2 linked regions of the Oreochromis niloticus genome follow. The protein of the gene in region 1 purifies or fractionates together with the protein of each later gene. This does not show direct contact. Links are inferred from orthologs where the notes say so. Each region holds a gene or a part of one and is shown in the gene's direction. Other genes may lie near its edges. The genes, in order: ddx24 and nifk.

Region 1 (7,730 bases):
ACCAGGGTGCTCAATCAGACATGGAGTCTGAATTAGATGTCATCAGATTAATTGAAAAGAAGAGGTGTTCTAAAAAGGGGGCCAATGACAGTGAGTCCTGCTTTTATAGTAGACTTGTGTGTGTAGAACAAAATGTGATAATGTGGAAAAAAGAAACGTGCACATTACCAGAATAAAAGATCCTTCTTAAAACTTTTACTAGCATTAACATCTGTGGGTTATTTATTCTTTACATCATCAACCTCAATACATGACAGTCTACAGGTGGTCTCCCCAGGCATTTAGAGAGCTGCATATTTTGGATGTCGTGGCTTTATTACTTATAAGTATGCATGTAGGCATAATGAAACGTATGATTAGGCAAGGCTTACAGACACAATTTAAGGGTGTCTTGTCCTTTTTGATCAGATTGATGAAAAAAAATTGTGTAGGACTTTTTGCTGAATTTAAATTGCTTATCACTGATGCATTGTTTTTTCTTATTTTTGTCCAGAATAAGTGGGGAACAAAGAAGCATCATGTAAACATGAGTAGTTCCAGCAGTGTATGATCACACAAGCCAAAATTCTGGCATTTCCAGACTTGTTTTGGTTTCTTTTCTTTTTTTTTTTTTTGGTCTTTGGGGGGTTGGGGGGTTGGGGGGGGGGCACACGTTAGAAAATCAAAGATTCATTGGTTTCATTTATTTGCTGATTATGACCTTGAAAATGGAAAAAAAAAAACAAATGTGTCACATCACCTACCCTTTGACGAAGTGGTTGATTTGACTTATTCTCACTTATTTTTCTCTACAGGACCGTAATGTCCTGAAAGTGAGAATCTGTCCTCGTGACTACACCAAACTACAGCATTAAAACACTTTACATTCATTCAGAACATTGAACTGACCATTCAGCGCAAATGTGTCTTGATGCCTTCACTAACATGTTGGATGTCATGCAAAGTTTGGCTTATTGTGCTGGATGATTTTTAAGAAGATTCCAAGATTTTGTTGCTGTTCTGTTTCCTTTGGATCTGCTATTTTTTTTTTCTATTTAAAATGCACTTGTGAAAAATTAGAAAATGTTGGTAGTTGGGGGGTTTTTTATTATTATTTTATTCACTGTGTTCTTAAATTCATTATTTTTGTTATACTTCATGTTAGAACAGCACATTCTTTTGTTTAATATATTGGTTCTCGTTCCAGGATTAAAGTGAAATTCACTCCCAATGCTTCTCGTGTCTCATTTACTTATCGATTGATTCTTATGGATTCACCTCTGAATACGTTTTTTGTGGTTAATGTGTAACATGTAGAGCACACTTGCACTTTGTTCCCCCCAAAAAATACAGAGAAATTTCAGGCACAATCTGGGCCAAGCTGAAAGGTACGTGGTGTTATTTTGTTAAACTTAAATACAAAATTTCAGAGCGTTTTCTAAGTATAATGCAGAAATAAGTATTCAGTTGGTGTAATCTTATATTTTTTGTAGATTTAGTGATTGTGCTGCTGTACAGTGGTGCTTTTTGTTTTTAATTTCTCGTTTCTGGGTGTGCACGCAAAACTTTCTAGGTTCTAATTTTGATGTTAAACAAAATGAAGATGGCCTGTTTTTTCTTTGTGGCCCTCCTGTGCTTTCTGACTCCTATCCACCAAGCTGGACCTAACAGTGCCACCATCTCAGATCTCTCCTTCAAAAATATGGACTTTGCCATGAACCTTTACAGAAAGATATCCAGTTACCATGACAAGAACATCTTTTTTTCCCCCCTGAGTATCTCTACCAGTTTTGCGGCTCTTCTAATGGCTTCTGATGGTGTCACACACAAGGAGATCCTGAAGGTACTAAACCTGGAGGCGCTGGAGAGGGCTGACCAGCCGGATCTTATCCCTAAACTGTTTCAACTCCTTCACGAGAACGTCACGCAAAATGGATCGCTGAAATTTGATCATAGCATGGCCTTGTTTATCCAACCCCAATTTATCATAGAGAGGGAGTTTGAAACCAAAATCAATAAGTTTTTTAATGCAGATATCAAAACTGTTGACTTTGCGGACACAACAGAGAGTATCAGAGTAATTAATGAGTACATTAGGGACAAGACTGAAGGCAAGATTACAGAGATGATTTCAGCCTTGGACGAACAGACCAAACTCCTGTTAATGAATGCAATTTTCTTTCAAGGTAAATTAAATCTTTTTTGCACACTTTAGATATTGGGTTTATGGGTTTATGTGCTATTAATTATACTAATATTCATGTCTGCACCTATGAACTGTTTTGTTTATAACTAAACGTACAATATTACCTCCTCCACAGGAGCCTGGAAGATGCCTTTCAACTCCAATTTCACTCGAAATGGACCCTTCTACATCGATAATTATAATATTGTGCAGGTGCCTATGATGTTTAAAGAAGACAAGTACTACACTGCAGAAGATGTTTCTCTGAGAGCCAAAGTGCTGAAACTGCCATACCAAGAGGGTGTTTCCATGCTTATCCTGCTCCCCAACCCAGACATGGACTACACTATGGTGGATGATGAGATTACTGCAGAGAGGTTTCAGAGCTGGATCGCAAAACTGAGAAAAATGTATGTGAGGAAAAATGCCTCGCTTTAACCAAGAGTCTGCATATTTTGTTGTTTAGCTGTAAAAAGCAACGGTTAACAAAAGTGTAAATGACCATAAAACAATGCCTGCAGCAGCAGATGAGCCAGTCTATTCAACATGTCAACTCATGTCTTGTTTGCAGGAAACTGGAAGTCAAGATGCCCAAATTCAACATGGAGCAGTCGTATTCCCTCCATAATCTTCTACCGCATATGGGCATGACCAGTGTCTTTAGTAATTTGTCCAATTTGACAAAGCTCAGTGAGGACAAAGGGCTCAAGCTGTCAGAGGTTAGTTGTCACTTTCACTGTCATGTAGCAACATATGTGCCTGTTCGCCAAATAGTGCAGCAAAACACTTTTAACCTTGCTGTGAAATTGTAGGTGCTTCACAAGGCCATGATTGACGTGGATGAGACAGGAACAACTGCAGCAGCTGCCACAACAATGGGTATCATTCCATACTCCCTGCCGAGGACCTTCACTATAAACAGACCCTTCTTCTTCTTCATATACCATGAAAACACAAACTGCCTGCTGTTCATGGGGAGGGTGATTGACCCCACCAACAAATAGTTTTGCCACTGTAATGTGTTCATTCTTAAGTGGCTTCTACATGACTAATTTGGTGGATGTTTTAATCCCAGACAGTTTAAAGCTTTTTTTTTCTGTTCTGTTCCTACAACATACTTCACCAATAATAATAAAAACTTCACCTGCATCACAAACTTGGATCTTTTAAATGTACGTACATCTCCAAATTATGACAACCAGCATAAATGTAATCACTTAATCGACAAATTAAACAAAACATCAGTACCACGTTCTAATAATGCACATCTTATCAGGTTATTAAACTGATGCTACCGGCTGACTATAATAATTGTAAAGAAACAGTTTTCTTTTGCCTTAAAGATTTTGCTTACAGTAATTTTAAAAAGAGGAACTCTAGTCAAATTTATTTAATTTACCTGATCACACACACACACACACACACCACCTACTCTACAAGTCTCAGTTTGCATGTTAAACAATGTTCATGACAGTACAATCAAACAGCATGGCTAAAGTTTTCAAAGTTGCATCTAAGAAAACCAGACAGATGAGACCAAAGTGCACAATGCACAACGCCATGTTTTGTGAAAACCAAACACAACATATCATACCAAAGGACTTTTGGCATTTTGTGGTCATTGAGTCATAGGTGAACTCTTTGTATACAAGTGAGTCAAATGATCAAATTTCATTGTGTAATGAAACAGAACATCGCAGGTTTGGGCAAAGCTACAACAGACTGGCTGAAGAAGGAAAGAATCAAGATGTTGACTCAGTGATCCAGTCAAAGTCCAGACCTCAACCCGACTGAAATGCTGTGGCAGGACGTTAAGAGAGCTGTGCATAAATGAATGCCTGCAACCTTCAAGAACTGAAGCAAGAGTGGGCTAAAATTCTTAAACAATGATGTGGGAGACTCCCAGAGAGTCACACAACAAGCGATTACTTCAGTTATACGCCGTTAAAGGTGGTTCCGCAAGCTCCTGAAACATAAGGGTGTAGTTGTTTTATTTTATTTTATTTTATTTTACAGGACGGCAGAGAGCCCAATGAAAACTTTGTTTTCCACAAATGCGTTTATTTATTTATGTACTAGATTATATGCTAGTTTGTCAGGTACAACCTTCATTAAAAAATAATTTTAATTATATTTGCTACTAATAATAAATACTACTGTAGTGAAGCAACTCCCTCGGCACAAACTTCAATACACCTTAAGAAATTACAGCGTATTATCCTTAAAATGAAAGCTGATAAACTAAAACCCTTGACATCCTCGGGTATTATTTAAACGTTTATTAAATTTTTATAAACGTTTATGTAGGCGGTATAAGGGGTTAAAATGACCAGAGAAATTGAAACAGCGCCTGTTGTTTAAATAAAGTTTTTCAAACCACGTGATCAACACTGTCATGGCTGCGCCCTCGTGTCTCGCGTTGATGTAATCGTAGCAGAAGTCTAAGAGAGCCTACACTCAGTCCAGGTAAGACTTTAGTACTCATTAATTCAACTAGTAGTTTACTGTAGACTTTGTACGCTTAGTTTCTGTTAATTATCGGTTAATAGTTGTCCGCTGGCGTTAAGAAACGTGGGGTGCACGTGTGCTTTTAACAACTAAACGTTAGGAACTTCACGAGGTCGGCTAAAGTCACTTATTTTACACCTTTACTTTTTTTCAGAAAAATGAAGACAAAGAAGATGAAGGCGAAAAACAAAGGCATGTCCACCGGGCTGGGGAAGCCAGCGAAACGTTGCATCGACATGAAAGGCAAATGGAAAACCATAGACCTCGATCCCAGCGTCTTCTCCGAGGAGGGCTTGGAGGGTCTGGTGTGTTTCGAAGAGCTCACGGATTACCGTTTAATAAACAGTGAGCAGGCTGCGGCCAAAGCAGCAAAAGAGCTGAAAAGGGAGAAGAAGAAGAAAGCACAGAAAAGAAAAGCTGGTGACGGCGAGGAGGCTGGAGAGAAAGGAGACTCGGGGATCAAAGAGGGGGAGAGCACAAGTGAGCCAGCGAAGAAAAAAGCCAAGAAGAAGAGGAAAAACAAGAAAGGCATTGCAAAGGAGTCGGAAAATATTTCTGCAGAAGACGTAAAGCAGAAGGATAATGCTGCCACTGAGCAGGGAGGAGAGGATGAGGTATCAGGTGAGGGCGATGAAAATGATTCTGCAGCCATCACTGCTGATCCCAAAGATACAAAGAGGAGCAGGAAGAAGAAGAAAAAGGGGAAAGGGCAGCAGACAGTGAAGGATACAGTCCCAGAAGAACAGCCAAACCCAGAGTCTTCATCAGATCTGGAAAAAGAAAAATCCGGTCAAAATAAAGTGACAAAGGCCCCACACAAGAAGGCAAAGAATTGGACAAACGCTGCACTTTCTGGTTCTGAAGACAAAAATGTTGACATGAGTGCATGGAAGGACCTGTTTGTCCCCCCACCTGTCCTGAGGGCACTGAGCAGTCTTGGATTTGGTTCACCGACACCGATCCAAGCCCTGTGTTTGCCTCCAGCTATCAGGGATCGTATGGATATACTGGGAGCAGCTGAAACTGGTAAGATAAAAGTGATAGGTTTATAGTGTAATGTTCTGTTCACAGATTTTTAAAAGTGAAGCTAATACGGATGTTGTACTTACAGGAAGTGGCAAGACACTGGCTTTCGGCATTCCCATAATCCATACCATCCTGGAGTGGAAGCATAGCCCAGAAAAACCTAATGATGACGCTGAACCAGTCACAAAGGTGGAGAGTTTGTACTTACCATCTGTAGATGAGTACACAAAATCAGCTGAAGAGGACCAAGAGGAGGGAGTGGAGGCTTCTAAAGAAAACGATGAAGATGCTGAGGATCAGAATCAAGGAGACTCGGATGAAGATGAACACAGCGATGTAGAAGATGAACAGCTTGGATGTGTTCGGGTAATCAAGAATGCAGACTTTGATTTTGATGAAAAACCCGCTGGTGCTCAGAGTCGACCCCTCTTAGGACTGGTCCTCACTCCCACCAGGGAGCTGGCTGTTCAGGTCAAACATCATATTGATGCTGTCGCAAAATTCACAGGTAAGTCATAGCTCATCAGAGTATTACGATAGCAGTTTTCTTCTAAGAGATCTATAAATGTCAGCATAGCTAATGTTTTCCTGCTGTGCAGATATAAAAACAGCCTTAGTGGTGGGTGGAATGGCACAGCAGAAACAAAGACGAGTGCTGAAACGCAGGCCAGAGATCATCATAGCAACTCCGGGGCGTTTGTGGGATTTGATCAAGGAGAGGCACCCACATCTGGTCAACCTCAGGCAGCTCAGGTGAGTCTTAATTTAAGACTGACTTATTTGCTAGAGGTGGTAATCGATACAATATTATCACAGCGCTTCACTTATGATATGATATTATCATGATTTTTATTATTTTGTGATATGCTGAGTATTCCAATAAAATATGTCACCTTTTTTAAACTGCAAGTTATTTCCTAAAGTTAAATATATGTTTTATTTTACTTTATTTTACTAACATTTAACTTGCGCTCATCAACCTTCCTGTTTTATAAGAATATACCCAAAATAGAACCAGCTGGCAGCCAGTTGATGAACTGTGCACATTGAGAAAGACTCATTCAGACTCATGGAAACATGTTGGCTATCTGTCTGGTTTCATATATTAGATAACAATTATTTGCAGAGTGATTGCAGTCAGTCCAAATCAGACTACACCTGTTAGTAGGAAGGGTGCCTCCTATCAAGTGAATCGAGCCCTCTTTTCAAAGTTTTCCCAGAGTATTTTAATGTATTTAATAAAATATTAATATTTGGTGTTCCTGTATCAATACAATATCGCCACACAAAATATCACAATACCACAATAAGGTTTTTTTTTTTCCTTCACCCGATTACTGACACTGATTTTAACCCTCAAATCATATCATGTGTGAAAGAGCCTTGAGCAATAGATCAGTGATTCGGTGTTCTGTGATAAAGTCTTTCAGGCAGGCCTATTTGTTAGATTTTTGTTATCCTTTCTTAATTCCTCTTCTTCTTATGACACAGGTGCCTGGTCATTGATGAAGCCGATCGCATGGTAGAAAGAGGGCATTTTGCCGAGCTGGAGAATTTGCTGGAAATGCTAAATACGACACACTTCAATCCCACTAGGCAAACTTTTGTGTTCTCTGCCACTTTGACGATGGTTCACAGCCTTCCCACTCGCCTCCTTCAAAAGAAGAAGAAGAATCTGGACCAGAGGAACAAGCTGGAAATTCTTATGGAGAAAGTGGGGATTAAGTCCAAGCCCAAAGTCGTTGACCTCACCAGGAAGGAGGCAACTGTGGAGACACTGATTGAGACTCAGATCCACTGTCAGAAAGATGAGAAGGACTTCTACCTCTATTACTTCCTGCTCCAGTATCCTGGGCGCACCATGGTGTTTGCCAACAGTATTGACTGTATAAAGAGGCTGAATTCTCTGCTGGTTATACTAGACTGTACACCACTGCCTCTACATGCCAACATGCACCAGAAACAACGGCTGAAAAACCTGGAGAGGTTCGCTGAGAGGGAGAAGTGAGTTGTGCACACATTTGCAGTAGCA
Region 2 (7,541 bases), on another chromosome or scaffold:
AACCACATCCACATTACTAACCAACTTTGATATGAATCATTTAATTTAGAGTTAGATTTTTTGTCTAATCTGAGCTATTTTGAAAGTTTTCTTGCATTTTGTTTTCTTTAGGTTATTGATTTCTTTATTTCTTTATTGATTTCTTTGTTTTCTTTAGGTTATTGATACAATTTCTGTGCGTTTCACTTCATATTTGTAAAGTTCTCAGTATCCAAGGTGTGATCCAAGTTTTCCAGTTGATAATCAACATCCTTTTCCTCTGGGCCATCTTCAGCACATTCAAAGCCTTTGATACTTTTAATTGTAACTTGGCAAAAACTCATTTCTATGAAAGAAGTCCTAAAGAAAGACTTTGTGTTTTATTTGATCTTTTGTTTTTAGGGGATTTGAATGCATTTTTACTACATTTTTATGTATTCTTTGTACAGATTTTGATGTCATGGTCACTGATCCAAGAGAAACAACCCGCAACCGATGTAAAGGTAAACATTTTTGACAGTGCCTCGAATCTGAGCTTCCCACTGCAGAACTGTTTAGAAAAATCAAGCACAAATTAAGTGGAACGAGTGTTTACAACTATGCAGGTACAATGTTCAGATAATTCAATATAGGAAAGTAAACTTCAACGACTAGTACAATAGAAGTTAAATGCAGTCATCTAAATTAAGTAAGAACACTGCTTGCAGTTACAGCATTGTTCTAATGAGTAAGATCTGCAGTATGTAATGTGCGTGGAGACCATGATGCCAAAGGCTGAAGCTGCTGTGAGAGGTGAGGAGCTGTCAGTGGCAGCTGTATTTGCAGCAAAGACTGCTTTGTCTTATGTTGCTCCATTTATCAAATTTGCTTTATTGATTTTAGTCACAGAAGAGTATTTCCTGAACTCTAAGCATAAGAATATTCCACTTTAATTCATTTGTCCAAAACAACACGTTAGAATGCATTTGATCATATGAAACATAAACTTCAGCTTTGGCTCCTACCTTTGACGTCCTGAGTCGGACAGTCGACCGGGAACTCCGCCTGCTCCGGTCTCCCGTTCACCGTGAAGTAGATGACTTTTGTTTCCATGTCATGAATCTAAACCCACTGATGCTGCTGTGTGCACTGCTGAACTGGCTCTGATGTCTATCTCCTCTCCACTCCACCCCCTCTCCACCTCCTCCTAAGCTCCTCCTCCTTCCCTGCCTTTGACTCCAACATTTCTCCGAGCAACAGCCAACTGTATTCACCTGAAATTTAGATTTTTATAACAATTACAAAGGTTATGATGGTGTTTTTTAAGTGATTACAGTAGTGGTTCTCAAATTGTGGGTGACAAATTAAGGGCACAGAGGTGAACATGGTGTACAAGAAAGAGAGAATGGTCTTTATAGAGCCAAACTGAGAATGAGATAACCAATGAGAGTGTTTTTGGCTGTGATTTAAGTGCTGTAGCGAACCTGCTGTTTAGTGCACGTTGTTGCTTTTTAACTCAAAGGGTCAAAGTTGAACTCGACCTCAGAGTGAGTTACGGTTTCTCTGGAGACAATACTTTTAAATCTGACTGAAGTAATATAAAGCTTACATGTGATCAGATATCAGCTTTTTGCGGCTCATTTGTTAGGGCACATGTTCAGCCTTTACAGGGTTCCCCTATGCTGTGATGCTGTGTACATACAGTAGTAGTCACATGCTATGAAACAGTATTAAGATCATGTTAAGAATTTTATAGAAGGTATAGGAGCCATGGCAGTCCTTTGGTTTGAAACAACAACCACAATCTCCACATTTAGACTTTTTTTTTCTCAAAATACTAATTAAATTTAATGTCGAAATTTCAACTTTAATCCTAAAATGGCCATTTTTTTTTCTAAATGTGAAAACTTTTATATGTGTTTATTTTTGTTTGTTGTTTAAAATTTGACTTTTATATATTTTTAGTTCAGAGTTTTGTATTTTTGCTTTTATTCTCCACAGTTTTAAGTTTTCTTTCATTTTCATTTCAATATATTTCATTTTTATGTATTTATTTATTTATTGCATTTGTTTTCAAATTTATTCAAATTTTCAGTTTTTGCACAAATGTGTTTTTCTTTCCTTGAAATATTTATCTTTTTTGTAATTTAAGACTTTGCACCAAAATGTATGAAACCTTATAAAATAAAATATGATGCTTACACAATTACTTTTTTCAGTTTTACACATTTTTATTATTTCCATTCTTAGGATTGGTGTTTGAAGCAGGAATTTTTATCATAATTAAAATTGTTATGAGATGTTTCTTATGAATAGAAATGTAGTGGTTCTCAAACTTTAGAGGTAAAGATGCATACAGCCAGGTGAGACATAAGAAGTGATAATCATATAAGAAAATGTGATGTTGATTTCCCCCCAAATATAGCTTATACTACTACTACTAATAATTATCATCATCATTAGTAGTAGTAGTAGTATCAGCTATAATAATAATAATGATAATAATAATAATAATGATAATAATAATAATTATTATTATTATTATGAGAAAATTTTGATGATAATTATCATCATCATTAGTAGTAGTATCAGCTATATTTGGGGGAAATCAACATGTATTTGTAAGCGCTTTACACTACATTCAGTCATTCACACACAGGTGATGGCAAGCTACATTGTAGCCACAGCTGCCCTGGGGCGCACTGACAGAGGCGAGGCTGCCAGACACTGGCGCCACCGGGCACCACCACCAGTAGGCAACGGGTGAAGTGTCTTGCACAAGGACACAACGACCGAGACTGTCGGAGCCGGGGCTCGAACTGGCAACCTTCCGATTACAAGACGAACTGCCAACTCTTGAGCCACGATCGCCCCTGTAAGAAGAAGAAGAAGAAGAAGAAGAAGAAGAAGAATACACTAAAAAAAAAAAGATTTAGCTGAAAATTCTGACTTTAATCCAATTACTTGCAAAGTTTTCCATTTTTTTTGTTAAATAAATACAAAGTAAAATGTTGAATTTAAATGAATATGGTCAAATTAAATGTAGTTGATTGGTATACAAATATACCAGGAAAATTTTCCCTCTTTCCCTTCGTTGCCTCAAGGCAACACTGTGCAGTTAGCCTATTTTTTTTCAGGCAATATAATGCATTTGAATATGTGTGTAGAGATGTGTTTGTGTGCATTTATATGATCATAGTCAATGTTTTTTACTTTACAATCTTCTTATAATTACAAGACATGGATGTAAAAACCATTTATGGAAGGAAACCAAGGGAATGAGCACTTTCTGTCCTCAGAAAGTGAGGACAGTGAGCTTTCAGGGAGTGACAGTGAAGTAGAGGAGTGGATCCCTGAATCAGGTTTGAGAGACACTTAGGAGCTCAGGGGTCAGTTGGTAAAGTAACTGTGTCTGTGTGTGTGTTAGTGTGTGTGTGTGTGTGGTCGTGTATTACTTATTGTTGTGTGGACACAAATTTGTTTACACACTCACATTGTGAGGTCTTGCCTACTTTATGGGGACAAATAGCAAGGTAAATCATTCAATTTTAGGGTGAAGGCTTGAGTCAGGGTTAGGGTAAGGTTCAGGCAGGGACTTGTGATGGGTAGGGTCAGGATAAGTCTCCAGGAAATGAATGTAAGTTAATGTAATGTCCCCAAAAGTGATGGAAATACAACATGTGTGTGTGTGTGTGCATGGGGTTAGGGTCAAATGTTGGATGTATTTTGGTGTTTTATTGTTCTGTGAAATGTTTACATTGTTTTTTTGTTGTTTATTTATTTGTTCATCCTTGTTGTACTAATAAAACTTATTATAGAATAACTTGGTGTTTGACTACCCTTGTCACACAGTGTTGCCTTGAACTTGAAGCAACAAACCAATATCTGTTTGGGGGGGGGGCAGGGTGTCAAATTTTATGATTGATATATTATTAGGGACCCTAAAGCTCCCCCAAAATAGGGAGAAATATTTTTTTCCCAAAAAATTAAAAAGTCATGCAGTAGAGGGTTAAATATTCTTAAAGAGGAACAATAATAATAAATAAACCTTTGTTTTTTTTAATTTCACTTTCCTTTAATTAAAACATTGCTTCATTTTTACTGAGTTTTTTTTCTCTTTCTTTTTTGAGCGTGAAAATAGTTAATGTAGACGAAACCGACTAACAAACTCACCTCCGCGCCTGTAGGTGTCGCTGCACAGAGCGCGGAGCTGCAGACGTGACGCGTTTCTCCGTCACTCGTTGGTGTTCAGCGCATGTGCAGCCGGATGTGGGTCATTATCAGCAGCAGCATCGTGGTTTTTGGACGGCTAAGTGAGTGTTTGTCTCAGTTTATGTGGCGTTTGTAGCTTCCAGCAGCGAAAAATGAGTGAAAGTGGCGCCGAAGCGGCTCCTGCTGCGGCCAAAGAGCTGCTGGCGCTGAATCCTGCACAGGAGTCCGAGTTCAGGAAGAAGGTTCAGGAGGTGAAGAAGAAGAAATCAGGCAAGGTGGGTGAAACATGTGGCCCTGAAGGAGACCCGATAGTCTGCAGTTATTTTCCTCCTGTTTACTGTCGCTGACTTTACTCTCAGACTGCTGATGTCTCTCTCTGTAGTCTGTGTTTAACTCAGGTTCAGGTGCCGTCAAACCTTTATAGGCTCGTGGTCGTTACTCTGTCAGTCGGCCCACGTGCAGCATATTTACTCAGGTTTACAGATGTAAGGCAGGCCCGTTTTTTTAAAAAAAAAAGAAGAAAAAATGACATCCTGTCTCAAATTATTAAGTTTACGGACTGAGAGAAAGATTAATTTTATTATAGTAAAGAAATGGAGAGAACTGGCCCCAAAGAAATGTGACCAAACTGAATGTAAACTGATATTTAAACAAGAAAATCTGTAAATGAGGTGAACATCTGTATGTTTAATATATATAAATTGTATTTATTTTGTACTTTTATTTTGTAGACTTTTTAAAAGCCGGTCTGGGAAAAATAAATCTTTATAGTATCGCATTTTGTTTTTCGTAATTTAGTCTGTGCATTATATCGTATTACAATCTGATCACAGGTGAAGGCCCAGTTCTCTGTGTAATGTCGTGATCTGTCTTTTCCCCATCACAGGCGAACCGCCTGACCCCAGGAGTGATTTACGTCAGCCACTTGCCCCGAAACCTGGTGGAGCCTCAGCTCAAATCTTACTTCGGTCAGTTTGGGAAGATCCTGCGGCTGCGGCTGTCCCGCAGTAAGAAGGTAACCCTGAACATGTGGAAACAAACGTGTGAATGTGTGAGGCGCAATCAGAATCTTCAACTGCATCTGTAAAACTTTCACAGCTCCTGCAGTGATGTATCACTTCCTTCAAACTTCACTTGGAGTCTTTTTTTTTTTTTTTTTTTTTTTTTTTTTTTTGGATAAAACTTTAGAGTCACTGAGAGGCTGATTTTAGACTGTGTGGTTTGAGGCCTCATAGCCAGAACAGAAACTTCCAGATAAAAATCTTGGGTATAACTCACCAGAAAAGGAGCCCACATGTTGCATCAAAGCAAAAAATGACCTTTGAACTATAACTTGGTAAAAAGTTGCATGGATTTGTCTCCTGAAAGCAGTAACAAAGTAATAAAACTGACTCCCAACAGCTCCGTGTTCAGCAGGAGCAGTTGAGGAACTTCTTGATCGCCATTCTTGAAACCAGCACACTCTCTGCAAACATTTAGATTCCTTTATTTTGGTTTAAGAAGTCCAGGCAGGAGCCTGTTTGAAGCTCCACTTCTTAAAATCTGGAGTTTTGGCTGAGACTGAAAATGATCTCAGATGTAAAAGTCGTCTGAGGTCAGATAACTGAGCCTAGAGTACTCTGGTACATTAAGCTTATCACCTGCTCTGCCTGTTATCAGAGTGATAAAACCCATGTGCCAACAAACACTGGAGGGAATGAAAACATCTGGAGGGCAGAATCTGTGACTGTCACTTTATTCCTCTCTCTGTTTGTTTGCAGACTGGTAACAGCAAAGGTTACGCTTTCATCGAGTTTGACTGCGATGAAGTGGCGAAGATTGTTGCAGAGACGATGAATAATTACCTGATGGGAGAGAGACTTATCAAATGTAAGTCAGAGTTCACCTTTTAGATCCTGATTCACAGGAAGTTTTCCTGTAAAGGTCGTAGTTCCTAGCTGATGTTTATTTAAATTTATAAAAAAAAATGTTTTCTCCCAGGTCAGGTGTTTCCTCCCGAGAAGGTGCACGAGAAGCTGTTTGTTGGCTCGGAGCGAGGGTTCAAAAAGCCGACGTATCCCGCAGTAACGCGTTACAACAAGAAGCACACGGAGGAGGAAATTGCAAAAATGACCGGCAAGCTGCTGCGCAAAGAGTCAAGGCTCCGAAAGAGGATCGCCGCATACGGCATCGAGTACGAATTCCCCGGATTCGTAAGTGTTTACACGCTGGAGCGGAAACTTTAAACGGGTTTAGGTTTTAAAAATTGGAAGTGTGCCGTGACATGGCAGCATATTTAAAGGCGTCTGATTTAATTAATGGATTTCTTGCAACTAAATTCCAAACAGCGTGCAGCTGTGATCTGTTCAGAAGCTTCAGTTTTTACAAAAAAGGATTTTCAGAGAATTACAGGCTGATAACAGCAATTTGGAATATTGCTGATTCCATATAAATTCAACTGAATCTGGAAAAACGTTCCCACCTGTCCCCCTGAAAATCATCTGGTTATTTACAGAAACTTTAGATTATTTAATGAAGCCATGCACACTTTTACCCTCATGCTTTCTTACGAGTCATTCCCTGCAGGAATCTCCCCACTTCAAATATAAATGCCACAAACTAAACTCATGGTTGTTTGTAGCTTTAGAAAAAAGGCTTTCAAAATATGAAATCCTGTGATGTGCTGCGATTTAAGCCTGCGGGCTGCTGGGACTTGCAGTAGAAACCCTGCACAATAAACAGTGAAAACTATGATCAGTGTCTTCATACTCTTTATTCTGTCTGAGCAACAGTCCAGAAAGTCAAAGCAGATTCTCTTTAACCTCAGGCCTCAGATACTGTGTGCAGTCCAGGACCGTTAGACTGTTAGATCGGTGTCAACTCGGCTTGGTTGACTCTGTGGATTCTTTTAAAAAACAGTTAAAAACTTTTCTGTTCAAACAAGCCTTTTGTTGATCTATGTATTTTATATATATATTTTTTTACATTATTTATATTTGATCTTTTACATTGTGTATAATGTCTATTGATTTTATTGTTTATTTTAATATTTGTGTACAGCGCTTTGACTGTCTGTGAAAAGCGCTTAATAAATAAAGTTTACTTACTTACTTACTTGGTCACAAAAACGGGAATATCTTTTTTTGTTTTGAGATTGTTCTTTTCGAGGTCTCACAAACTTCACTGCTCTCTGTGCTCTTCAGGCGGCTCAGGTTCCTAAGAAGAAGTCGTCATCCGATGCTGGCAACGTGTCTTCGTGCACTGACGTAAGTCTGGTTATTGTGTTTGGTTTTATGTCGGGCGCAGACTGAAAATGACCCCGGGTCTCTCAGTGGTCTGGGGTCAGATAACTGCGCCTAAAGAACTGCGGTGCGTTAAGCTTATCGCGCGTG

What was found.
Region 2: the proteins of ddx24 (region 1) and nifk purify together in Homo sapiens (affinity purification with mass spectrometry; 3 studies listed by BioGRID and IntAct, counting the BioPlex papers as one, with this or other methods). This does not show direct contact. The link is inferred for Oreochromis niloticus from reciprocal best matches to the Homo sapiens genes DDX24 and NIFK.

What each region holds. Positions count from the first base shown.
Region 1 is NC_031983.2:11,422,571-11,430,300, forward strand, and holds the start of ddx24 (ATP-dependent RNA helicase DDX24), read left to right. Parts: upstream 1-4,490; 5' UTR 4,491-4,630; intron 4,631-4,826; 5' UTR 4,827-4,830; coding exon 4,831-5,698; intron 5,699-5,783; coding exon 5,784-6,206; intron 6,207-6,297; coding exon 6,298-6,451; intron 6,452-7,189; coding exon 7,190-7,702; intron 7,703-7,730. Other genes in the region: serpina10b (protein Z-dependent protease inhibitor), read left to right, coding at 1,565-2,165, 2,301-2,574, 2,736-2,883, 2,977-3,168. UniProt on the Homo sapiens protein: ATP-dependent RNA helicase that plays a role in various aspects of RNA metabolism including pre-mRNA splicing and is thereby involved in different biological processes such as cell cycle regulation or innate immunity.
Region 2 is NC_031987.2:8,321,552-8,329,092, forward strand, and holds the start of nifk (MKI67 FHA domain-interacting nucleolar phosphoprotein), read left to right. Parts: upstream 1-4,206; 5' UTR 4,207-4,322; coding exon 4,323-4,445; intron 4,446-5,056; coding exon 5,057-5,185; intron 5,186-5,725; exon of another isoform or gene 5,726-5,856; intron 5,857-5,930; coding exon 5,931-6,039; intron 6,040-6,150; coding exon 6,151-6,362; intron 6,363-7,352; coding exon 7,353-7,415; intron 7,416-7,451; exon of another isoform or gene 7,452-7,541. Other genes in the region: high affinity cGMP-specific 3',5'-cyclic phosphodiesterase 9A, read right to left, coding at 984-1,071.